6 linked regions of the Mus musculus genome follow. The protein of the gene in region 3 interacts with the protein of the main gene of each other region in a pairwise test. Links are inferred from orthologs where the notes say so. Each region holds a gene or a part of one and is shown on either strand. Other genes may lie near its edges. The genes, in order: Tmem79, Erlin1, Sec22a, Sftpc, Dtx2 and Eda.

Region 1 (4,152 bases), on a different chromosome or scaffold from region 3:
AAAGATTTATTTATTTATTATATGTAACTACACTGTAGCTGTCTTCAGTCACTCCAAAAGAGGGCACCAGATCTCGTTAGGATGGTTGTGAGACACCATGTGGTTGCTGGGATTTGAACTCTGGACCTTCGGAAGAGCAGTCAGGTGCTCTTACCCACTGAGCCATCTCACCAGCCCCTCTTTCTTTCTCTCTCTCTCTCTCTCTCTCTCTCTCTCTCTCTCTCTCTCTCTCCCTCCCTCCCTCCCTCCCTCCCTCCCTCCCTCCCTCCCTTCCTTCTTTCCTTTCTTTTCTTTCTTTTTTTTTTTTTTTTTGATTGTTTGTTTCGAGACAGGGTTTCTCCGTGTAGCCCTGGCTGTCCTGGAACTCACTCTGTAGACCAGGCTGGCCTCGAACTAAGAAATCCGCCTGCCTCTGTCTCCCAAATTCTGGGATTAAAGGCGTGCACCACCACGCCCAGTTAGAGGCCAATTCTTAAAGCTATTTGGATGGAGAGTTTCAGAGTAAAGTAGCTTCAGTGAACACACTAAATGACAAATGAGGTTAGAGTACGCAAGGCAATGGATTCAACACTATACTAAAAAAAAGTCAAAAGCTCCCCATTGCCATGGCTCTGAGACCAACTGCTACCCAGTGTAGCTCAACAGACAGCAAGCTCATCACTGCCTGGTGCACATCCAGAAACACCCCACCCCGACTCCCATCCCCGACCTCAGGTTTGCAGACCTTCAGCTCCCTGGAGGATCTGGAATCATGTCTTCCTCATGCCTACCCCAGCCATGGCCACCCCAGCCCCCGCCCGACTCACCGAGATATGGCAAAGAGACCGGTGAGCAGCGGGAGCAGCTTGAGGGTGTCCTGGGGCAGATAGGTGGAAAGCACAGCCAGGTTAAAGAAGTAGAGGATGAAGAGCTGCACAGACTGGGCCACGTACTGCCGGTGGATCTCCACTTCCCGCCTCGGCTCGCCGAAGGGCCGAAGCGCAGAAAAGCACAATAGGCTCAGCCCGTACACAAGGAGCCCTATCAAGAGGGTAAGCACATGGGATCAGAAAAGGCAGGAAGGTTGGGATGGGTTTCCCAGAAGATAGCTCTTTGGGTCGGGGCTACAGAGTGGACACAAGAGCTCCCTGGAGGAGAGGACAGAGAGTGGCAGGTTCAGGATACCCTGAGTGGTTCCAGCAGAATGAAGAGAAACCACCCAGTCGAAAGCTCTGTAATCCACTTCCCAGGTAGCCCTTCTCCACGGGGCCAGACTCACCGAGTACGATGGGAAAGGTGGCAAAGACCCCACAGCGAAGGGTGTAAACCAAGCGGGAGCTCATGGTGGGCAGCCTCGGGGCATCGAAAGGCAGGAAGGCGTATGCTCCGTACAGCAGACAGGGGAAGAAGATGAGGGCCGCCACCACCGAGGCGACAGCTCTCAGTGCCTCACGACCTCCACAGCTTCCACAGCCCCCGCAGGACCGGCCAGGGGGTCTCACCACGGCCTCAGCCCACTTGCGCTCTGGGGGCTCAGGGTGGCTGAGTCGAGCTGGCAGGAAATTCCTGAGCTCGCCTGGTCCAGCGTCGCGATGCAGGATGCGCTCCTCCTGTGGCTTCCGCTCGATGCACTGTAGATCAATGGGCACGAAGGCCCTAACTGTCTTCTCGGGGAGCAGGTTGGCATCCTCTTTGAATGGCTCCTCCGACTTAGTAGGTGCCTCTGACTCTAGGGGCTCTGGTTCAATATCTCGCCAGCCCGGGGGATCCGGAAGTGGGGCGCTAGGATGGGGGTCAGTTCCCCAGGGTAAAGTGGCAGCCTCACTTATTGTGCTGTCTGGACCATCCTCAGGCCCCTCTCTGACTATAGGAGACCCTACTGAAGACCCCACTCTGAGCGACTCAGTTCCAGGGGACTCAGTCCCACCTTCTTCCTCTGACTGCAGGACTAAAGCCTGCGGTGGGCTCTTCTCTGGAGTCTCGGGTTCCTTCATGTCCAGCAGGGCCAGTGTCTCCGGTTCTGTCATTGTGAGGCTTCAGTTCCGAGGGCTACCACAGAACGATGTCATCCTATAGGCAGTGGGAGAAGTTCTGTGAGAATACCTAGTCTTCTGGCCCCAGGACAGTTTCTCAGACCTAGAACTCCCCAGAGAAGCTGGCCTCATGGGACTCTAGGGAGAACACTGTGGGGAGGAAGGTGTTGAAACAGAGAGGCGGGCGGGCAGCAGAGGAGCGAAATGGAGGATCCCTTTCAAAATAAATGTCATCCAGCAGGACAAGGGTGAGTCAGGGGGCACAAGCAGAGGCAGGTGTGGCCTGTCTATACCCACACCTGCCTTCTACTCTCTCCACTAAAACTCCCGGATTTTTGGCCACCCTGGCTTTGGAATGGGAGGCTGAGGTGTCTAGGACTAGGCGGAGTTTCTCTACAGCCAAGGGTCACCCTATAGATAGAGAAATTGGCCCTTCCCCCTTCCTTCCACCTGCCCTTTGACCTGCAGGTCCCTCCAGGAACTCGACACCAGATCTCGGTTCCTCAGTCTCCATTCCAGGAGTCGGTCATTTTCTGAACTCTCCCATTGCCAGTCTCACCCGATTCAGCTGGGCTGGGCTCCACTCAGACTCCCAGCTCTAGTGTGGCCGTTCCCAAGCCTTCCTCTTGTTTCCTCCCCTGCCACCCTCCAGCTCACAGCTTCTGGATTGGGCTCCCTTCGTTCACCTCTTGGGCCCCTCCTACCCCTGCCCTTTGGATCCATGATACCCTCTTACTTTCCATCTGCAAAGAGGCGGAGGATCTCCGGAAAGGAGCTGCCTAGCTCCTGGCTGGCTCTGCAAGTATTTCCCAGTTTCCCTCCCTTGCCTGTGTCTCCAAACCTGTCTGACCAGAGCGGGTGGGGCCCAGATTAAAGGCGCAGGCCCTGCCCTACAGAATCTGCCTACTGGAAGGACTCTACAGGAGGACGTCATCCTTTTTGAAAGTAAGGGTGCAGCTGGGCACAGAGGTGTGGACTTAATGTATTCTGGGATCTGTAAGAGCTTCCAGCTCAGGGAAGCATCAGGGTATAAAAGTGGGTTTGTGTATCAAAGGGTGCTCAGAGTAAATTGGCTAAAAGATGACACTGCAAGTTTGTTCATCCAGTAAATGTTTATTGGGTATCTATTATTAATGAGGCGCTATTTCTGTGGTGGTACAAGCCTTTAATCCCAGCACATGAGGCAGAGGCAGGCAGATTTCTGAGTCTGAAGCCAGGCTGGTCCAGCAGCCAGAGTTATGTAGAGACTCTCTCTCTCTCTCTCTCTCTCTCTCTCACACACACACACACACACACACACACACACACACTCCAACAAACAAAAAAAGTGCTAGTCTAGGCACATGTACAGAAAAGAACAAAGTGACAAGGTTTCTAGCTGTTCAGGTAACCAACATTAAAGTTCACACCAAATCAGTAGTAGAATTTCAGTAGTGAGAGCCTCTTTAGGGTGACTGAAGCTGAAACCCAGTGGAAGTTCCCTGTAGAGGAACAGCGCAGCCAACAGATGGAAAAAGACTTGAGGCAGTTTGAGGAATAGAAAGGAGACTTGGTGGCTGGAGCCAGGAGCATAGTGGTATATACATTGCCATTATAATGTGGAGAGAGAGAGAGAGAGAGAACCCCAAAGATCCGCCTTATAGTTAGGAAAACAATAGGGCTGACAAGATGGCTCACCAAGCCTGACTACCTGAGTCTGATTCCCCAGAGAACCACACTTTTAAAAGAAAACTGACTCTCCCAAGTTCTCTGGCCACGTGTATGTTGTATGCATGCACCCACAAAATATAAATAAATAACTCTCTCGGGAAGAATTCCTTTAAAAAACAAGCAACTTCAGGAGCCACCCCTCAGGCGCGCTGGGATTTTGGCAGCTGACTTGACCTTGTGCATGCCGATCTCCACAACCTCCGGATCTTAAAATCTTTTCGCTGCCCCTCTTCTGCAACGATGTCTGATTCAATGATAGCTGGCCCATTCGTTTTATTATTTTATGCACTTTGGCGTTTTGCCTCTAAACATGTCTGTATGAGGGTTTCGGACCCCCTGGAGCTGGAGTTTCAGATGGTTGTGAGCTGCCATGTGGGTAGTCACTTCTCCAGCACCTAGCTGTCCCATGGCGAGCTTTGCACTCTACGGT
Region 2 (3,500 bases), on a different chromosome or scaffold from region 3:
AAGAGGCTCACGAAAGGCAAAGGAGTGGTTGAAGGAAGGAAGAAAGGTAAGAGCAATGAAATACACATGACATGGAAGAAGGGGGCATTATCTAGGAGGGAACCAGCTGGAGGAGACAGGACATACGGGGGATGGGAGTTCACAAAAATAAAGAATAATGACATGCGTGAAAATGACATAATAAAATCCATTACTCTATATGCTAACTTAAAAATTCTTAAGCAGTTTTTAAAGGCTTATATTTTTAAAAGACTCTGGGGTATCAGGGAAGGAGGCAACATTTACTAGGGTGGACTTTAGACAATTTACATACATTGGTGTTTAATTACCCCTCCTCCTAATTTTCTATCTCAGGAAACTAAGAACCAGAAACTTTCAGAAATATCCCCAAAGGTAACATACCAGTCTGCGTCAGAACCTGTGTTCTAACTATAAAACATGCTTTCTACATTCGTTTTCATATCCAAACATTTGCTCCACTGGCCTCCTACATAGGATATTAGATACAACCGGACTCTAAGTCATAGTTGATGAAACATTTGTTGATAAATAACTGCTAAATATATGATCTCATCAGCTTCCAAATAAGCCAGTGAGCTAAAACTCTCCTGCCTGTCTCCAGGGAGATTCGTCCACTTTCCTCTTTGTCAGTTCTGAATCATATCCATTCCAGTGGTTTGTGATCAGAGAACACAGTCAGTCACTTGTTGCTCTCTGTGGGAGCACTGCTTCCAAGATCCTCTGGAGAGCCTGCAGTCTACAAATGCCTAAGCCTCTTCTATTAAACTAAGTAGTATCTGCATGTAAACTGTATATACTCCTGTATACTTTATCATGTCTAGGTGATTATACGGTATCTAATATAGTTACTACACTGAACAGTTTGGGGAATGATGATGGGGGGGAGGGAAGTCCACATATGTTTAGTATAGAACCAGCTTTTCCCCTCAATGTTTGATGTGTGTTCGGTTGGACCTGTGGATGTACAATTCACAGATACGGAAGGCTGACTGTAGATGAGAAACCACGAGAAAAATAACAGTCAAAAAATATCATTCAAAGCCACTTGCCAATAATATACTTGCAACTCTTTACTCTGAAATCTTTCTCCTATCTGTGTCTGTACAAGTGATATGAACTTTAACATGACCCTGTACTTCAATGTACGTTTTCCCCTTTCTACCATGTCTTCTCAAGTACAATGAAAACACCTTGAAGGCGGAGGCTACCATCTTCACTTTTTTGACGTTCTTGAAAAACACAAGGCATGCCAATTTGTTAACAAGAATGAAGACCAGATATCTTCAAAATTTGCAATTAAGTTCTTATATGTTCACATGACACACACACACACACTCTCGGACCACAAATCAATCTCAGGTGTCATCTGTAGGTCTCTCACTAGTTAGGGTAGAGTGGCTGGCCTCTGCGCCTCAGGGACCTCCCTGACTCTGCCTCAGCACTGGGATATCAAGTGCATGCCAGTCTACTAAGCTCATGGGCACTCAGGACTGAATTCTGGTCCTCAAGCTTACACAACAAATGTTTTGCAGACTGAGCCATCTCTCTCCACAGCCAAACTTTTTTAAAATAACATGCATCCACTTTATCTCTGAGGTGTTCATCTTTTATTAAGAAAATGCTTCCGTGTACTACCAATTTTCAGACTGCTTTGCAAGTTATGGCAAATCACAACCAGAAAATGGCAAATGAGTGTGACCCAAGAAAATTGATCAATTATAGGTCTTCAGGATACAAAGAAATTCTTCCCCAACAAGCTGGATACAGTGCCATTTTCTTTTTCTAGAAACATTTGCTTTCAGAAATAGTAAATTCAGAGAGGACTGGCTCACTGGTTCCTGAAAACCAATTCTGTCCAGAACTTGTGACCTGCTTGTACCTCTATTTCCTGCAAATGAAAATCCTTGCATGATCATTCTTTTATAGTCATCAGAACTCACTGAGGGAGTAAAACTTTAAAAAGTATCTTCCTCTCCCTCCTCAGTTGTAAATGCCCTGGTTATAAGTATAGAATCACAGCAGATAGTTAAGATTACCTGCATAAGGAGCCAACATATTAACCACTTCTATTCGGTCAATATAGATCATGACTCCACCACTGAAAACAAACAAAAATGGAAAGTGTGAGTCAGAGCCACAATAAAAATAATAAAGTACAATAAAGAAGTTACAGACAGACCTAGGGAGAACTTGATAATCTAACTTAAAACGTAGGGAGAACTTGACTTAGAACATAAGAGAGCTTGGTCCCTTTTCAAATGTATCTGTCCTTCTATAGATGTCAAAGGTACCTTAGTAGGTTTGTAAAAGCAATACTTTACATCATTTAAACTAGGTAATGAATTAAAGCCTACCTCATCCTTATCAGTCCTCACTTGATACAATTAATACAGTAAGTATATTTTAGTGCTATACCAGCCTTGTTTCCTTTCTTGGCCTCAACCTTTTTAGGACAATTCTTAGAGGCCTCTAGACCGACAGTGTAATCAGGAACTTCATTAGAAACATAAATTCTATTAAAGACCTACTTATTGACTCAGAAACTCTCAGATGTCATTTAACATTATAAAGAGAAGAAGTGAAATGATTTTGTTTTAAGTAATCTTTTATCGAACATCAATTCAGATCCAAGTTCTGGGCCATATACACAAATTCTAATCCTTACAATAATTCTAACATAGGTCTTATTCCCAGACTTAAGAGAACTCAGCTTAGAGAAGCTAACCAAGGTATCAGAGGAGGGCAAAGGCTATGTGGAGCCTATACTTTCTGCTTCATTTTCCTGTCAATTAAAATAGCAACTCGGGTGTGATAATGCTAATATATAATTAGTCTGCTAGCTCTGAAACTCCATTTCAATAATACCCTCAGCTGGAATGCTCTCACTTGCAGCCTCATGAAAATAACTCATAGCACAGAAGTTTCTGTTGCTGTCATGTCTATATAGTAGTGTCATAGTCAGGCATGGTGACATATACCTATAATTTTAGGGTTTCAGGAAGCAGAGGCAGTAGGGTTATTCCAAGTTTGAAGCCAGCCTAGTCTACATACTAAGTCTTAGGCCAGCCAGGGCCACATAATAAGAGTCTGTATGATTCAAAAACAAAACAAAACAAAATGCAAACCAAGGTTTCTCAAGTGACTCCAGCTCTAAGAACTTCCTCGGTACTGTAGAAAGAAAAGAGCGATGGGCCACAAAGGAGGGAGCTTACCTTGTTCCACAAGGCACATTTTTAACTTCATCCGTTTGTAGTGTTGTCTGGAAAAAAAAATAGCTCATCAAAATTTATTTTTATTTATTTTTTTTAGTGTGTACTTCTTCTTTTTTTTTTTTTTGGTTTTTCAAGACAGGGTTTCTCTGTATAGCCCTGGCTGTCCTGGAACTCACTTTGTAGACCAGGCTGGCCTTGAACTCAGAAATCCACCTGCCTCTGCCTCCCGAGTGCTGGGATTAAAGGCGTGCACCACCACACCCGGCT
Region 3 (4,208 bases):
ATGAACTCCACCTATGATTTATTAATATCTTGAAATTGTCCATCTCTTTCTGCCTCTACTGCCATTATCTTTGTTTAAGCCACCATCATTTGTGGCCTTGACCAATACAACTGCCTCCAAACTGGCCCATCAGTAACCCTTCTTGCTCCCTATCCATCCATCTCCATAAACAGCAAAATGAGCTTTAAAATATGTAAATCAGATCCTACTTAAGAATCTTTATTAGCTCTGTGAATTGATCTTAGGGTGTGTTGCTGAAGTCTGAACTGTATAAAGTAGCCAAAGAGAGTTAGACCTTGCCTCATCTCAGCCTAAACTTCTTGCCCCTACATACTTTCTGCTTTAGGCTTTTTATTGATGAAATTAACCATAGTGACCAAAGGCAACTGGGTGTGGAAAGGATTTATTTCATCTACGAAAAGAAGTGAGGGCAGGAGCTCAAGGCAGGGATCTGGACAGGAAGTGAGGCAGAAGTCATGGAGGAGTGCTGCTTACTAGCTTGCTCCCCATTGCTTGCTCAGCCTACTTTCTGGTACAACATAGAACTACCTGCACTGGGGTGAAGACCGCCCACATTGGGCGGGGCTCTCCTGTATCATCGTCAATCAAGGCAATATCCTACACACTTGCCCACTAGGCTAATTTTACAGAGGGTTTATCAAGATTCCTTCTTCTAGCTATGTGAAGGTTTCTGTCGAGTTGACAGAAACCAACCATCACGACTTCCTAGTACAGTTAAATGCTCACAAATCATGTTTCCAGGGTCTAGAACATTTTTAAGGGTCCCTTAATATACCTTGACCTTAAAAGGTACGTAATCATGGAGCTCTTCCCCGACAGTCCACAACTCATTCATCAATGTACCTATTAGTTTTTCTTCACAGTACCAGTCAAATGTACATTTCTGTAACAATTTACCTTAATGCCTTTTATTCCTATTACACCTTAAAAGGAGTGCTGTGGACATTCCTGTAAAACATGCTTAAGATGCTGCCGACCATTTAATTGACATTCAGCATATCCTTGTTTAATAATACTTAACCTCGTGAAGGCTGGGAGGAGCTACTGAGGCTTTTCTCTCTGTTTTGCTAAGTTTCTTTGTGTAGTGCCTGATGGAAGAAGATCCTTTCCCTGTTCACCAGAGAGAGCTTTTCCTCTGTCCCGAGTGGCGCACGAGAGACAAACTGCTTCCCGACACAAAGCAGCAGGTGAAGGAGATTAGCCTTATTTCCGAAGGACAGCATAATTCTCTTCTTAGAAGAGAAGGCAATCTCCTGGCGCAGGTGCAGGAAAACCTGCCAATCTCCGCCGGAGGAGGCGGGGATAGGGCGGGCCTCGGAAAGGGGCGGGTCTTTGGATGCTTCCCACGGCGTCCGATAGGCCCGTGCGAGCTCCGCCGGCGCCAGCCACGTTGGACGCGGGCATCCCCGCTGGAAGGCCACTCCCGGCCCCACAATGCACTGCGTGGCACGTCACTCCGAGCCGCGGGTCCCGGAGCGACAGGTATGGCCCGGCCCCTCTTTTCAGCTTCCTCTGGGTCTCCCGGAGCTCTGGCCGGCTGCTCGCGCCGCTCTCTCGGAGTTCCACCTCGGCTTGACCGGTAGTTGTCCGAGCCGGAGCTTGGTGGCGGTGGCCTCAGAGCTTAGGAGGACGGGCGTGCAGGGTCCGAGTCCCTGCGACCTAGGGCTGCGAGCCTCGCGGGCGGCGGTTGCTGTTTAGCAGGCCTGTCCTAGGATGGGCGGCTGGAGTAGGGGCTGCTGACGGGGAGGGACGGCCGTCCCGGGCTGCCAGCGAGCCGTAGTGTTGACTCCCTGGCTCCCGATGTCAGCAGCACACCGACTCACTCGGGCTGGTAGGTGGCCCGAGAGAGCTTGAGGTGGCATTCCTACTTTCTTTTGGGCGGGGTAGCTTGTACCCTGTGATTTGTGAAGTCTGAATGGGCGTTGCAGTTGGACATCTTACTCGTTGGCTCTGGGAAATCCCGTGAGGCCCTGTTTTAAAGGTGCTTTGCGACTCTCTGTGGCAGAAAAGAGACCTGAGAAATTGGCTCCACAAGTGGGGAGTCTCCTGCTGCTTAGCTTCCGGGATCACCATCACCTGGGGGCAGGTGGAACTCTTCAGAACCCGCCCCTCCTGTGCTTAACCCTGGGCAGAGCCTGGGTGTCCCGCCAGGCTACACGTGATAGAATCCCAGCGGATTAGTACAACCACCATTTTTTTAAAAAACGGAATCACATTCCATGTTACTGGTACCCACTCGTTTGCCAGTACCGTGAGAAGTCGGTTTCTTAAACAATACTTAGAACTTCTAGTGTGTAAAGGAAGACTTGAGAGCTGAACCTGACACCCGTAACCAAAAGTTACTAAAGGATCGGCCGTTTCCACTTAAGAAGATCACATCAGTTTAGTACTTGATTTTTAGAGACTGGGTAAAGTTTAAGTATATTTTAGTTTGGTGTATGAAAAGACACTAGCAAAGAGATACTTGCCACCTTCCTCTCCATGTAGTAACGAAGCCTGGGTATGTTTAGAGGCAGTGTCTTATAGAGTTATTAGAGTTAGTAACAACTTATTACTTACTAGGGGTTGAACAAATGACTTAAGCTTTTGGAACCTGTGTTTCTTCCAAAGCAAAGTGAAACAAATACCCAACCTTACCGGTTCCCGGAAGGTTCAAATGAGGTGTATGAAGTGGATCTTAAATTCAATTAAAAAAAAAAGATAGGTAACTCCTATAATATTCTGTCATATTGTACCTCTGGGCACTGTAGGCAGGTCATTATTAGAGCTTGCAGGGTTCGTAGTTGGGTGAAATGGATGGCTGCCTTTCTCCAGTCACTTGCATAGCAACTTGTAGCACTATGAACACTGACCAGTAGGGGTGAAGCATATGTGTGCCACAGCATAGGTATGCAGGTCAAAGGATAACCTAAGGTATTGGTTCTTGCCTTCCCACCTTGTTTGAGACAGGGTCTCTTGTTCACTGCAATATACCAGGTGATCTGTCCTCAGAGCTTCTGGGAACTCTTTGTGTCTCCAATTCCCATCTACCTGTAGGAGCCCTGGATTATAGATATCTCCTCATATAACCACGTCTCAATTTTTCTTGTGTTCTGGAAAGCCAAACTCCCGTCATCAGATGGCTTGCCCTACAAGTGTTACCATTCAGCCATCTTCCCAGCTTGCAAATGCTGTTTTTACAAGCTTGTTTGGTAGTGGGAGAGATGGCTCAGTGGTTAAGAGCTTTAGTTACTCTTGCAGAAGACTCTAGTACCCCCATAGCTGCTCACAACTATCTGCAACTCTAGTTCCAACATATCAAGTTCTTCCTCTCTGTTCTCCAAGAGCACCGGGCATGCACATGGTGCGCGTACATACATGTGGACAGACACTCATACACATAAAATAAGTTACATATTTTTAAAAAATGTGTTAATTGGAAGGTTCTTGGAATATATTGTGTTGTTATCTTAATACTCTGATTATTACTAATTGTGAAAGTTGTATAAATGCTTACCAGTTTTGGCCTTGATTTTTATTTAATTCAGATTTCTCATTTTATTTTAGGTCTTCTGTGGGTTGAAATGTCTATGATTTTGTCTGCCTCAGTCATTCGTGTGAGGGATGGACTACCGCTGTCTGCATCCACTGATTATGAGCAGAGCACAGGAATGCAGGAGTGCAGAAAGTACTTTAAGATGCTGTCCAGGAAACTTGCTCAATTTCCTGATAGATGTACACTGAAAACGGGGCGCTATAACATTAAGTAAGACCTCAGTTTGGTTCGCTAGAGTCAGTTGCCTGTAGGTTGCCATTTTCATGAAATGTAAATGGTTGCAAGAAAACCTCATGTTTGAGTGACTCTGAGAAACTTGAAGTCAACATTCATGTTCTGAACTTACCTTAAATAGTAGTCATGATGTTATTAACCTTTTGTCTTTGCAGAGTCTCTGGATTGGATTCTGGCTTTAGAAGACTTTATATAAGTTTTTCAGATAGTGCTTCCTGTAAATTGCTCGATAACTATTTAGTAGAGTTTTCACATGCACAAGATTGTAGCAAGCAAATTGTAATGGAAAATGTTAAGTACAGTTTTATCCTACAGTTTTATCCTTTAAGACTGGGCAATAGGATAGAGTGTGACTTTACCCTGTGCTGACTGCATCCTTCAGGAAGAATGATATTTGACCCGAACCTTTAAAAATGAA
Region 4 (4,135 bases), on a different chromosome or scaffold from region 3:
GTTGCCCAGGCACCCTGAAAGGTACTGTTGCTCACCTGTGGATGCTAGATATAGTAGAGTGGTAGCTCTCCACACAGGGTGCTCACAGCAAGGCCTAGGAAAGCCAGGTCTCTCCCGGAAGAATCGGACTCGGAACCAGTATCATGCCCTTCCTCCTGGCCCAGCTTAGAGGTGGGTGTGGAGGGCTTGGCCTGGAAAGAACACCTACTTTCAATGTCACCTGCTTTATTTAGTGTGGGACACTAAGTTGGTAATTCTCGAGGATCAGTTTCCTCACAAATTCAGAGAGGGACTGGGTTGGATGTAGAAGCCCATAGGTCATGTCTAAGCTCAGCCAAGGCCAACAACTTAGCAGGGCCACCTGAGAGCTGGTAGGGATGGCAGGACACAGGTCCATGGAGAGAGGAGAACATGTCTGATCCAGAAACATCAATACTACACAGGGTACGCTAGTCATCCTTTCACATGTCCCTCTACTCAACCCTCAGAGGGAGACTGCTCCCTCCCTCCCTAACATACCCACCTGGAAGTTCTGGAGTTTTCTAGCGAAAGCCTCAAGACTAGGGATGCTCTCTGGAGCCATCTTCATGATGTAGCAGTAGGTTCCTGGAGCTGGCTTATAGGCCGTCAGGAGCTAGGTATAAAACCCTGGAGGTCATTCACAAGGTCCCCTTGCCTTGCTTCCTCCCCAACCCTAGTTCTCAGCCAACCAACTTCCTTTAGATTGTCTTCAGAGGGTGGAGGGGCGCACTTGCGTCAGTGGTTCGAGCATCTGAGGTGAGGTAGCCAGGCACAGAATGGGGAGAGACCTCTAGAAATGCTACAACTGGCTAGTTCCAATAAAGTCCCGGTGGTCCCTCCGGCATCCTCACCCGCTGGTAGTCATACACAACGATGCCAGTGGAGCCGATGGAAAAGGTAGCGATGGTGTCTGCTCGCTCACTCGGGGCTAGGCGTTTCTGAGTTTCCGGTGCTCCGATGCTCATCTCAAGGACCTAGGGGAAGGGTGTTGGAATGCTGCCTGGTATTTCTCTTTCTTCCCTCAGCCTTTCGGTACCCATATCTACTCAGAATCCTCTATTCAAACGCTTTCCTGAGATCTCAGGAAGGCTAAACGTAAGAGGTGTCAGAGCAATCGATGGTTATCACACTAGGCCGGGGCCTGGGGGAGAGGATCTAGGCAGGATGGCTACCTCGTCTCTGTTTGTGTCACCCAAGATGTGCTCATACCTGTCCACTCCCTTCTCTTCCTCCCGAACAGCTGCCCATCCCCCCATAATCTCCCCCAACCCCCTGTCTGCTGTGCCTCTTTGCCCAACCCAGGCCCACTCACCATCTCAGTATGTTTTTGACTCATGTGGAGGCCCATGAGCAGAGCCCCTACAATCACCACGACAACGAGGACCACCACCACAACCACGATGAGAAGGCGTTTGAGGTGCACGGGACAGCAGGGGATGCGGAACTGGCTCCTGGGACCTGCCGAGTAATCCTGAGAGAGCAAGGGAAGCAGAGAGACAAGTGGGTAGTGGAGAGGGTGGCTCCTACTCTCCCTGTGCAAGGGGGACACACACATCCCGTACCTCTTTAGGCTACGAGTGTGCAAGGAAGAGCTGGGGAGATCAGAGGCTTTTGGGAAGGAAGGCTTTGGGGAAGGTGGTTGGACCCTAACAAAACCATAGCTACTTAGAAAGTTAGAAGCAAAGTCTAGGTTTGAAATAATCCAAGAGAGCCAGCTACCGATCTCTTCTTCTGTTTTCCCACGACGCCTAACACCCCAGACATATCCTGAGTTTTTGCTCCCTCAAAGGATCCAGGTAGCCCTGTCTCTATACCTTTACACGGGTCTCCTTTGTTCCTTCTCAATCCAGTCCATGTGCCAGCTTCATGGTTTTTTACACTTATTTAGTGTGTGAGCGTGTATACATGTGTGTGGTATGTTTGAGTGTGCATGTGTGTGATGTGTGTGAAGGTACATGTGTGTGTGTGTGTGTGCACATGTGTGTGGTGTGTGTGAGAGTGTGTGTATGTGGTGTGAGTGTGAATGTTTGTGTACATGTGTGTAGTATGTGTGAGTGTGTATGTACATGTGTGTGTGTAAGTCAGGGACAACTTTCATCTCCTTTCATCATGTGAATTCCAGAGATTAAACTCGAGCCGCCACATTTGGTGGCAAGCACCACTACCTACTGAGCCATCCTTTTTTTTTTTTTAAAGAAAAAAACCATATCTATGACCCAGGCTGCCTTTCAACTCCTTATATATCTAAGGATGACCCTGAATGATTATCTTGCTTATATTTCCAAACAGTGTGCACCTCTATGCCTGGATTATGTGGTACTGGGGACTGAACCCAGGTCTCCACGTTTGCAAAGTGCTCTAGCTACTGATCTACATCCCAGCCTCACTGTCATTTGCTCTGTGGTACTTCCTGTAGCCTCCCAACTACATGGTGGTGCTATCAGTGTTCTTCACAGGACTTTCTATTGACCCCTCTGTGGCTCTCAATCCCTTTATACAGGAATTCGTGGTCGTCGTGCCTGCCTCTACCAGGGACTCTTAATGATCACGGTATCTCTATCCTAAAAGCCCAATCCTAAGCTAATTGAGTATATGGGTCTAGAAAAAGAAAAAAAGCCTACTGGAGGATGGACAGTCAAGTCCAGTATACTATGTATGCGCGCGCGCACACACACACACACACACACAATCACACTCACCGGTGGACTCTCCATCAGGACCTCTTTGCTACTCATGTCCATTTTGTAAGGTTTCTCTCTCTCTCTCCTCTCCTCATCTCTCTGGTGTGACCAGTGTCTTATATATATCATCAGAGACAGAGAGGACAGGGGTGAAGGACTGGGCCTCCTGTCTGCCAGCCAAGTCCTTGGCTTTGTAGCTTGTTTGTTCCTGGCTTTTCAGAGCCCAGGCCCCGATAAGGCAGCTGCAAGAGCCCCCAAGGGCCCTTGGCCTAGGCACATGAATCCTCTTGGCCCCAACAAGAGCAAACCTGGGTGAGGTAAGCAAACTCACCCTCGGGCCACCTGCTCCTCTCACCGTGGGTGTCTTTCTGGCATGTCTGCCTCTCTTGCTGGCACCTGCCCCTGCAGCCCTGTGGCTTCTCTTCTTCTCACAGCCCAAACTGTTCAGGTGGCAGCCAAGAAATCTGGCCGTCCCTCGCCTCAAGATAACCTCCCCAGGCTCAGACACGAGTTCCACTCAGGGACTGAGAAAGTGGCGCTTGTTGATGGGGCTGGAGAGGAGGGTGGTGGAGGAACAGAGCTTGGGACAGCACCTGGGGTCCATTAGCATGGTTCCTTAGGGTCAGACTGCCCTTTACCCCACCTTCTCCCACACGTGCCATTCCTATCCTCAGATTTGCTCCTGTCTTCCTAACTCTGGAAACTGTCCCTACTGATGGGAAATTATTGCTCATGGGTGTTGAGTACCGTTTCACTCTTTGCTTTGGCGTTGTCTGTATGTTGGATGCTCTGATGGCTTACTCTATATACCCTTATCACCCTTTGCCTCCTGGTGCTGAGGATCACGCTTAGGATCATGAGCATGCTTGGGAAGCCCTCTACTGCTGAGCCACATCCCCAGCCCCTGACATTTTCTTAAGCCAAGATGACCTTGCCCAGGATTGAGTGTGGTCCCAGCCATCTCTGCCCCTCTACTGCCCTATCTACCCTTCTGTGCTCCTTTTTATAATAACTTCTAAAGGAACCCAATGTGATTTCACCAAATTCCATTCACTTTCATGACCTCCTCCTCTTCCTCCTTCTCCTCATTGCTGCCTTCTCTCTTTCCCCAAATCCTCTCCTGTGCTTCGGGGTACTAAGTCACATCTATCAGCGATCTGGGATTGCCTGTACCCTTTCAACTTGGGGTTGGATACATGCCTCCAATTCCCTTTTAAAGACTTATTTATGTTTATTTGATGTGGATGAGTGTTTTGCCTGCGTGTTTGTCTCTGTACCACCTGAATGTCTGGTGCCCTTGGAGGTCAGAAAAGGACATCAGATCCTCTGGAACTGGAGTTACAGAGCGTTTCCAACTTCCATACGGGTGCTGAGTGTCAAGCATGGGTCCTCTGGAAGAGCAGCCAGTGCTCCTAACCAGTGCTCATCTTTCC
Region 5 (3,500 bases), on a different chromosome or scaffold from region 3:
TAAACATATATAGACAAACACACATACAAATACAGTCATGCATACAAAACACAAAAGCACACAGACATGTTGACATCATGGTCGTGCTGTGGTGTCACATGGTCACACACACATACCCACGGAAACATGGGTGTGGCCCTGTGCACTTAAAGTGTTAGCGTGTGGAACAGCAGGAGGGTTCTCATTTATGGGTCCTGCTCCTTCCCTACAGGCACCATGAGGTCTGTGCGCAGACACCTGTTCTCACAGAATTCTGCCCCAGGCCAGGGCATCGTCTGGGAGTGGCTGGGCGATGACGGATCCTGGGTAGCCTATGAAGCTAGAATCTGTGACTATCTGGAACAGCAAGTGGCCCGGGGCATCCAGGTCGTGGACTTGGCACCACTGGGGTATAACTATACTGTCAACTATGCCACCCTAACCCAAACCAACAAGACTTCCAGCTTCTGCCGGAGTGTGCGACGCCAAGTGGGGCCAGTTTACCCAGTGACTTCAGACATCGCTGTTCCACGCCAAATGGGACTTATCTGCTTTTGCCAACAGTGCCTCCATGGTAGCGGAACTGGCCCTGTGTCGGGCCGCTACCGCCACTCCATGACCAACCTGCCTGCATATCCTGCCCCCCAAGCACCCCACCGGACCACCACTGTCTCTGGGGCCCACCAGGCCTTTGCCCCATACAATAAACCTTCACTGTCTGGGGCCAGATCTGCACCAAGGTTGAACACCACCAACCCCTGGGCTGCAGCACCTCCTGTTGCAGGCAACCAGTCCCTGTTCCACTCCAGCCTCTCCCACCTGGGGCCTCAGCTCCTGCCCTCAGGACCGTCCACCTCCAGTGGAGCCAGGTACCTCCCAGTGCGGACTTTACTTCTACCCGTGTGGAAAGCCTCTCCCTCACCCTTGCAACTCCACGTTTGCCCCGTGTTGTCTTTTGCAAGTGCCACTTGTGTGCTGAGCCTCCTTGGTTTCCCACTTTGACGTCCCATGGAGCTACCATGCCATGGCACTTTGATTGTCAGCAGTCTTTTAATCTTTTTAACTTTTGTATATTTTTGATGATATGGTCTCATGTAGCTCAAGGTGGCCTCTAAATCCCCTGTATAGCTGAGGACAGTCTTGAACTTCTCTGATCCTCTCTCTTGTCTCTGCCTCTCCAGTGCTAGATGATCCAACCCAGGGCTTCGGCATCCAGGCAAGCACTTGACCACCAAGCACAGCCTCAACTCCGTTGTTGTTTTTTGTTTTTTGGTTTTTTGGTTTGTTTGTTTGTTTGTTTTTGTTTTTGTTTTTTTTTCAAAACAGGGTTTCTCTGTGTATCCCTGGCTGTCCTGGAACTCACTCTGTAGACCACACTGGCCTCGAACTCAGAAATCCACCTCCTCTGCCTCCCAAGTGCTGGGATTAAAGGCGTGTGCCATCACTGCCTGGCTGTTTTTTGTTTTTGTTTTTGTTTTTTTTAAAAACATACAAGTTCTGTCGGCCAGGCTGACCCAGAACTCAGTATGTCGCGGTGCCCTTGAATCTTCAACAGGCTTCCTGCCTCAGGCTCAGGGTTGGGATTAGAGGCCATTACCAGGACGCAACAGTCCTTTCTCAGGGTCCTAGGGTGCGGCAGACCTTTGCCTTGACTTATGTACTGCCTGAGGGGCTCTGTGCTCTGAGGATACTTTGCCTTGTGGCGGGCAGTGCAGATATGGGGGTGGAAACAGCAGCTCTAACCCTGAGCCCACAGTTAGTTCTGAGGAGCCCAGGGTAAGTGGGAAAGATGGAAGGCGTGGGATATAAAATGCCGAGAAAGGTGATGATATCCAAGGTCCATCCCAACCAGGCAGTACACTTTTAGTTCTGAGCGTCTGGGCTCTGCGCTTGCCCACTGGGTCTACATTGCACTGAGCCCCAGCTTTGCCTGCTGAACAGCTGAGGCTGGCCTGGACTTTGCTCTTTCTGTCTCAGTCTTCCAGGGGTTGGGGTTATAGCTTATGCCCTCATGCAAAGCCAGGTGGAGTTTTGCTGTTGTGGTTTGGTTTGATGGGTTTGTGTTTTGTTTTTAAGCGTGTGTGGTGGTTTGCCTGTACTGTGTGCACATGCTTGCCTGGTGCCGGGAGAGGATGTCACATCCCCTAGAACTGGAGTTGTGAGTCACCGTGTGGTCCTGGGAATTGAACCTGAATCCTCTGGAAGAGCAGCCATTGCTTTTAACTGTGAGCCATCTCTCCAGCCCCCAAGTCAGATTGTTTTTTTGTTTTTTGTTTCTTTTCCTTTTTGTTCAAGACAGGGTTTCTCTGTATAGCCCTGGCTGTCCTGGGACTCCGTTTTAGATGTTTTTTTTGTTTTTTGTTTCTCCCCGAGACAGGGTTTCTCTGTGTAGCCCTGGCTGTCCTTGGAACTCACTCTGTAGACCAGGCTGGCCTCAAACTCAGAAATCCGCCTGCCTCTGCCTCCCAAGAGCTAGGATTAAAGGCGTGCACCACCACGCCCCGGCTTTACCACCTTTGTGTGTGTGTGTGTGTGTGTGAGTGTGTGAGAGTGTGAGTGAGTGAGAGAGAGAGAGAATGCATGCCAGCAAGTACAGGTGCCACAGTGCCCCGTGTGAGCTAGTTCCTCCTACCATGCATGGCTCTGGGATTAAACTCGGGTTGTCAGGCTTGGCTGGAGTCTTCTCTACCCACTGAACCATCTCAGCTCTGACTAGTGTTTGCTATTGTTGTGTTTGTTTGTTTTTATTTTATTTTAAAATTTTGTTTTGTTTTTAGAAAAAGTCTCTCTGTTTATTTCAGGCTGGCCTGGAATTCTCCATCCTCTTTTCCTTCTCTGTTAGAGCACTAAGCAGTCACTCCATCATCCTCAGCACCACCACTAAAAAAAACCAAAAAAGGTGCTGGCACACACAGGCATTTTAGAAAACCCACCCGAACAATGCGAGCTACCCAGGGCTTTGATACCTTGGCAAGCTTTATTCTTTAAGCTTGTGACATGGGCAGGGATGGCCATCAGAGATGTCCACTTAGAGTCTGCAGATGAGGACCTGCAGGTTGGCTTAGCACTAGAATGACTTATCTAGAATCTTCCTTTCTTGGGGCATGACTCAGTGGCAGATCTTCTGCCTAGAATTCCCCAGTGAGAGTCTGGGTGTGGCTCAGTGGTATACACTCTGCCTAGCATGGTGCCTAGGTGCCCGCCAGCTCCCTAAAAAGAGAAGCAGTTAGTTGTGTGGGGCGCGTAGGCACTGGGGCTGGCCTGAGTGTGCGGAGGAGGGGCCTGCTGGCCAGGGGAGAGTTGAGGGCCTGGATCACTGGCCTCCAGGCGGCTGTCTCCAGAGTTGGGCATGCGTACGTCCTCTGGGACACGTGGGTCTGTCTCCCTGGGAACAGGGAGTCCAGATAGGCCTCACTGGGTCCTGTGCAGGCTTTACATGGACACAGGCCTGCAGGGCTCCCCGGGACGTCCCTCTCTCTCTTGCTACTTAGGCTTAGTGTGTGGGCCAGTCCTTCAGGGAA
Region 6 (3,500 bases), on a different chromosome or scaffold from region 3:
ATAGTGACACCCCCTGGGCAGGTGGTTGTATAAGAAAGCAGGCTGAACAAGCCATGGGGAGCAAGCCAGTGAGAAGTCTTCCTCTGTATTCTCGGCTTCGGTTCCTACGTCCAGGTTCCTGCCTTGCGCTGCTACTTTGTCTTCCCTCAAAGGACTGTGACTCAGTGTATATAAGCAAAAAGGAAACAAAACAAACAAGACCGCACCTTCTTTCCTACGTTGTTTTTGGTCATGATGTTTACTGTAGAAACTCTTAAGACAAAAGGTAAAGAAATTTATATTTGAAATTGAGAAACTGTCTCAGGAGAGAACATTGTAAAAGATTTCCAATCCTGGGACTCCCATTAAAATTCTAAGACAGGAGAACTTAGAGAAAGAAGCCTACCCATGACCACCTATAGTCCTTTGGTTAGTCTGCTCAAAAGAGAACAAGTCTATAGGAGGAACAGTTATGATCCACTTACCATGACTACAGCCTAGAGGAACTGTTAGAAGGACTAGAATATGAAATGGGAGGGCTGAGATTGTTCTGGAAAGACAGTGAGAGAGAAAGGAGGAAAGGTTGGTAGACAGGATAAATAGTAGTGCATTTGAAAATACAGCCTCTAAAGAAAATCTCGGGGAAGGTGGATTGTTTGGCCTGCAATGATAGAAATTGATAGGTAACCTAATATCTTTGAGCATATGAAGTTTTATGTACATGGTGCTAACTAGTCTTCTCTAGCTACTCAAAAAATAGAATAAAATTTCAAACGGCCACAGTTAAATATACCAAAGAACTTCCTAACCGTGAGCAGTGAGGGGTGATCAACTCTGGAACATGTAACCAAGAGAGTTTGCAAAATTTCTGTTCTCAGTGATCTTTAAAAATAGAGTTTAGAGAGGTCAGCTGAGAAAGCAGAGCCTGCCGCCTCTGTCAGGTGTCTCTCTCTGCCTGTGATTCCTTCTTTTCTGTTGTTTCTTGATATCTTCAGTCTCTCACCCTATCTCTCCACCTCCATTTCCAAAACTCCTTCCCACTCCTCTTTTCAGCCAGTGCTGCCCCTATCCATCCCCATGTCCTGCACATCTGACTCCTGACAAATCTTCCTGGAGCTGATGGTGTTCCTGAGATCAGACTTCCACTATCCTTTGGTTAATAGTAGCAAGTCTGTGCAATTGAACAGCTAAATGAAGTCCTGCCAATGATGCCAATGATAGTATTACCAATGATAATCAAATTCTAAAAAGAATCATGAAGTGACCCCTAAGTCTGAGTTTCTAATAGTCCTTTGGACTCAGATCAGAACCTCCTTTTTGAAGTCTTGCCTGACCTGTTTCAGCATTTGGTCTGCCTCATTAATGTGGCACTCTTAATATCTTAGAACATTTTCCCTACTATGCTGGGCTCCTTGAGAACTGTTTATTTCTGTGTCCTCTAATCTATTTGGAAATATGGTGCAGAAAAGGGATTATAAGCATGTCCAGCTCTTCAGCAAAAACTAGATGGCTGACTTGGTGTCATTGAAGTCTCTAGAACTCCCTGAAATTATACTCCTGACTATACAGTCTTGACAGTAACTAACTCCAAATATAACACTGAATCCTGTGTTTTAGGAAAGAAGGCAGGGCCACCTGGGCCCAACGGCCCCCCAGGACCTCCAGGACCTCCGGGACCCCAGGGACCTCCAGGGATTCCAGGAATTCCTGGGATTCCAGGAACAACTGTTATGGGACCACCTGGCCCACCTGGCCCTCCTGGTCCTCAAGGACCCCCTGGCCTCCAAGGACCTTCTGGTGAGTTCTTCTGTCTCCCACCCCTTAGAAAACTTTTCATTGCTTTTGTAGAGTAGAAACAGATAATCTTCAGAGAATTTTCAAACAGTGGCAATGTGCAGTAAGAAATCCCTAGTCTAGTGTAGAGGTGGAAAGTGAACAAGCTCTGATAGTGTCTGGCCTGCTCTAAGTCTTGTTGAGTTCAAGCTGCGCCAGACAGGCCATCTGTTCTTGCCCCATGCCAATCCTTCCATCCCATTCCATCTTTGGCTCTAGTCCTTCATATAGTGAGCCAATAAGCTCATATGAGCCAAAAACAGAGGTATGAGAAAGAGGTCCCAGCCATTCACTGGAGTTCCTGTAGATATAGATTTGGCTTACTCTGATTTCCAGCATAGAGTACCACATGACATTTGCATGGAAATAGTTTGTGGGAGGAATGTTGGGGACTGGACAAAATGACAACCCTATTATAATGTCTTTCCATGTACTTTGAGACTCCTTGCCTAGTGGTGTAGAAATAGCCCCTTCTAGTCGAGTGGTTAGAAATGTATGAATCACTCAAGCTGTGTCTAACAAAACCAGACACCAAGACCACCCTGTCCCTAAGCCAAATGTGTCTCACACTAGACCCTTAAATAACCATGCTGCTCGTTTAAATGCCATTCCATCCCTTTGCCTTTTTCTCCTAGCGCCCAGTGGGGCATGCAACAGGTATAGCTGCAGATCCAATCCTACCTAATTAGAGTTGACAGGAGGAAGACGGCCTGAACTCATGCTACTTGTTACATTTTTCTCCTGCTCCCCTCCTCTATCTTGAGGTTTTCTTAAACTTAATTTCCCCAGGTCTAAGAATTCAGCAGCAGGATTCAGATTCTTTCACTTGTAATTCAAACAGGCTCAGCAGTGTTACCATGGCCACAAGAGATAAAAGTTTTTTTTTAAACCCAATCATTCCACAAATATTAATTGAACAATTTCTGTGTACAAAGAGATACATTGCTAAGTGGTCCCTGTTCTCATAGAGTTTATTTCCTAGAGTCAAAGAGACACACTTAAAGAAACAAGATCTTTATAAATGACAGTGGCTCTTGTGAAATCAGTAAGAAGAGAACAAAGAGCTAGAAAAGCAAGTGCCATTGTTTTAAGGACATACAATGACACACATAGCCTCTCTTTCCTCTCTGTGGGTGCTCAATGGGGCTTGCCTTGAGCCAATATTGGCCAGAGGCCAACTTCCCTGCTGGGATCTAGACCCTCTGAAGAAGATGGTCGGTAGGGACAGGAATGGGAAGGAGGGGATACTCTCTCCCATCAACAGCCCCATGTTGTACTATGACTCCCTCCAGCTGTAAGGCCTGGAGAAGGAAATTCCTACAGGGCTGGCTGTGGAATCCAGGCTCTGGAGCCCTGGCTGCTGAAATGGGAAAGGGAAGTAGAAAAGAGCACAGCACTCTGACTGCCCCATCCTATTTTGCAGGTGCTGCTGATAAAACTGGAACTCGGGAAAATCAGGTTGGCTGGGGATTACTGTCTTCCTGGGGAGGAGGGATGGCCTCAGGCTTGGGGTCACCTTGAAGTCCTTTGCCTATGAGATTCCCAGAGGCTTTATTTGATGTCGTACTGGAGGGTCTGAGGTTTTCACGGGCAGCCGTTGCCGATACCTATGAATTGGAAAGGTTCGCCCTAAGGATGTGCTTTTAGCTAAAGGAACACAAGTCTTGCCTGGACCATTTTACTCATTT

What was found.
Region 1: the proteins of Sec22a (region 3) and Tmem79 interact in binary tests that used the Homo sapiens proteins (3 or more experiments, as listed by UniProt). The two-hybrid records come from large-scale screens. The link is inferred for Mus musculus from reciprocal best matches to the Homo sapiens genes SEC22A and TMEM79.
Region 2: the proteins of Sec22a (region 3) and Erlin1 interact in binary tests that used the Homo sapiens proteins (3 or more experiments, as listed by UniProt). The two-hybrid records come from large-scale screens. The link is inferred for Mus musculus from reciprocal best matches to the Homo sapiens genes SEC22A and ERLIN1.
Region 4: the proteins of Sec22a (region 3) and Sftpc interact in binary tests that used the Homo sapiens proteins (3 or more experiments, as listed by UniProt). The two-hybrid records come from large-scale screens. The link is inferred for Mus musculus from reciprocal best matches to the Homo sapiens genes SEC22A and SFTPC.
Region 5: the proteins of Sec22a (region 3) and Dtx2 interact in binary tests that used the Homo sapiens proteins (3 or more experiments, as listed by UniProt). The two-hybrid records come from large-scale screens. The link is inferred for Mus musculus from reciprocal best matches to the Homo sapiens genes SEC22A and DTX2.
Region 6: the proteins of Sec22a (region 3) and Eda interact in binary tests that used the Homo sapiens proteins (3 or more experiments, as listed by UniProt). The two-hybrid records come from large-scale screens. The link is inferred for Mus musculus from reciprocal best matches to the Homo sapiens genes SEC22A and EDA.

Annotation. Positions count from the first base shown.
Region 1 is NC_000069.6:88,331,634-88,335,785, forward strand, and holds the start of Tmem79 (transmembrane protein 79), read right to left. Parts: upstream 2,801-4,152; 5' UTR 2,749-2,800; intron 2,697-2,748; exon of another isoform or gene 2,475-2,696; intron 2,050-2,474; 5' UTR 2,007-2,049; coding exon 1,259-2,006; intron 1,021-1,258; coding exon 807-1,020; intron 1-806.
Region 2 is NC_000085.6:44,059,786-44,063,285, forward strand, and holds part of Erlin1 (erlin-1), read right to left. Parts: intron 3,281-3,500; coding exon 3,234-3,280; intron 2,120-3,233; coding exon 2,058-2,119; intron 1-2,057. UniProt on the Homo sapiens protein: Component of the ERLIN1/ERLIN2 complex which mediates the endoplasmic reticulum-associated degradation (ERAD) of inositol 1,4,5-trisphosphate receptors (IP3Rs).
Region 3 is NC_000082.6:35,361,119-35,365,326, reverse strand, and holds the start of Sec22a (vesicle-trafficking protein SEC22a), read left to right. Parts: upstream 1-1,408; 5' UTR 1,409-1,503; exon of another isoform or gene 1,504-1,821; coding exon of another isoform or gene 1,822-1,852; intron 1,853-3,567; coding exon of another isoform or gene 3,568-3,584; coding exon 3,585-3,766; intron 3,767-4,208. UniProt on the Homo sapiens protein: May be involved in vesicle transport between the ER and the Golgi complex.
Region 4 is NC_000080.6:70,521,282-70,525,416, forward strand, and holds the start of Sftpc (pulmonary surfactant-associated protein C), read right to left. Parts: upstream 2,801-4,135; 5' UTR 2,763-2,800; coding exon 2,721-2,762; intron 1,493-2,720; coding exon 1,334-1,492; intron 996-1,333; coding exon 873-995; intron 635-872; coding exon 524-634; intron 192-523; coding exon 45-191; 3' UTR 36-44; intron 1-35. UniProt on the Homo sapiens protein: Pulmonary surfactant associated proteins promote alveolar stability by lowering the surface tension at the air-liquid interface in the peripheral air spaces.
Region 5 is NC_000071.6:136,011,800-136,015,299, forward strand, and holds part of Dtx2 (probable E3 ubiquitin-protein ligase DTX2), read left to right. Parts: intron 1-211; coding exon 212-848; intron 849-2,805; exon of another isoform or gene 2,806-3,500. UniProt on the Homo sapiens protein: Regulator of Notch signaling, a signaling pathway involved in cell-cell communications that regulates a broad spectrum of cell-fate determinations.
Region 6 is NC_000086.7:100,388,106-100,391,605, forward strand, and holds part of Eda (ectodysplasin-A), read left to right. Parts: intron 1-1,596; coding exon 1,597-1,776; intron 1,777-3,235; coding exon 3,236-3,270; intron 3,271-3,500. UniProt on the Homo sapiens protein: Cytokine which is involved in epithelial-mesenchymal signaling during morphogenesis of ectodermal organs. Functions as a ligand activating the DEATH-domain containing receptors EDAR and EDA2R. May also play a role in cell adhesion.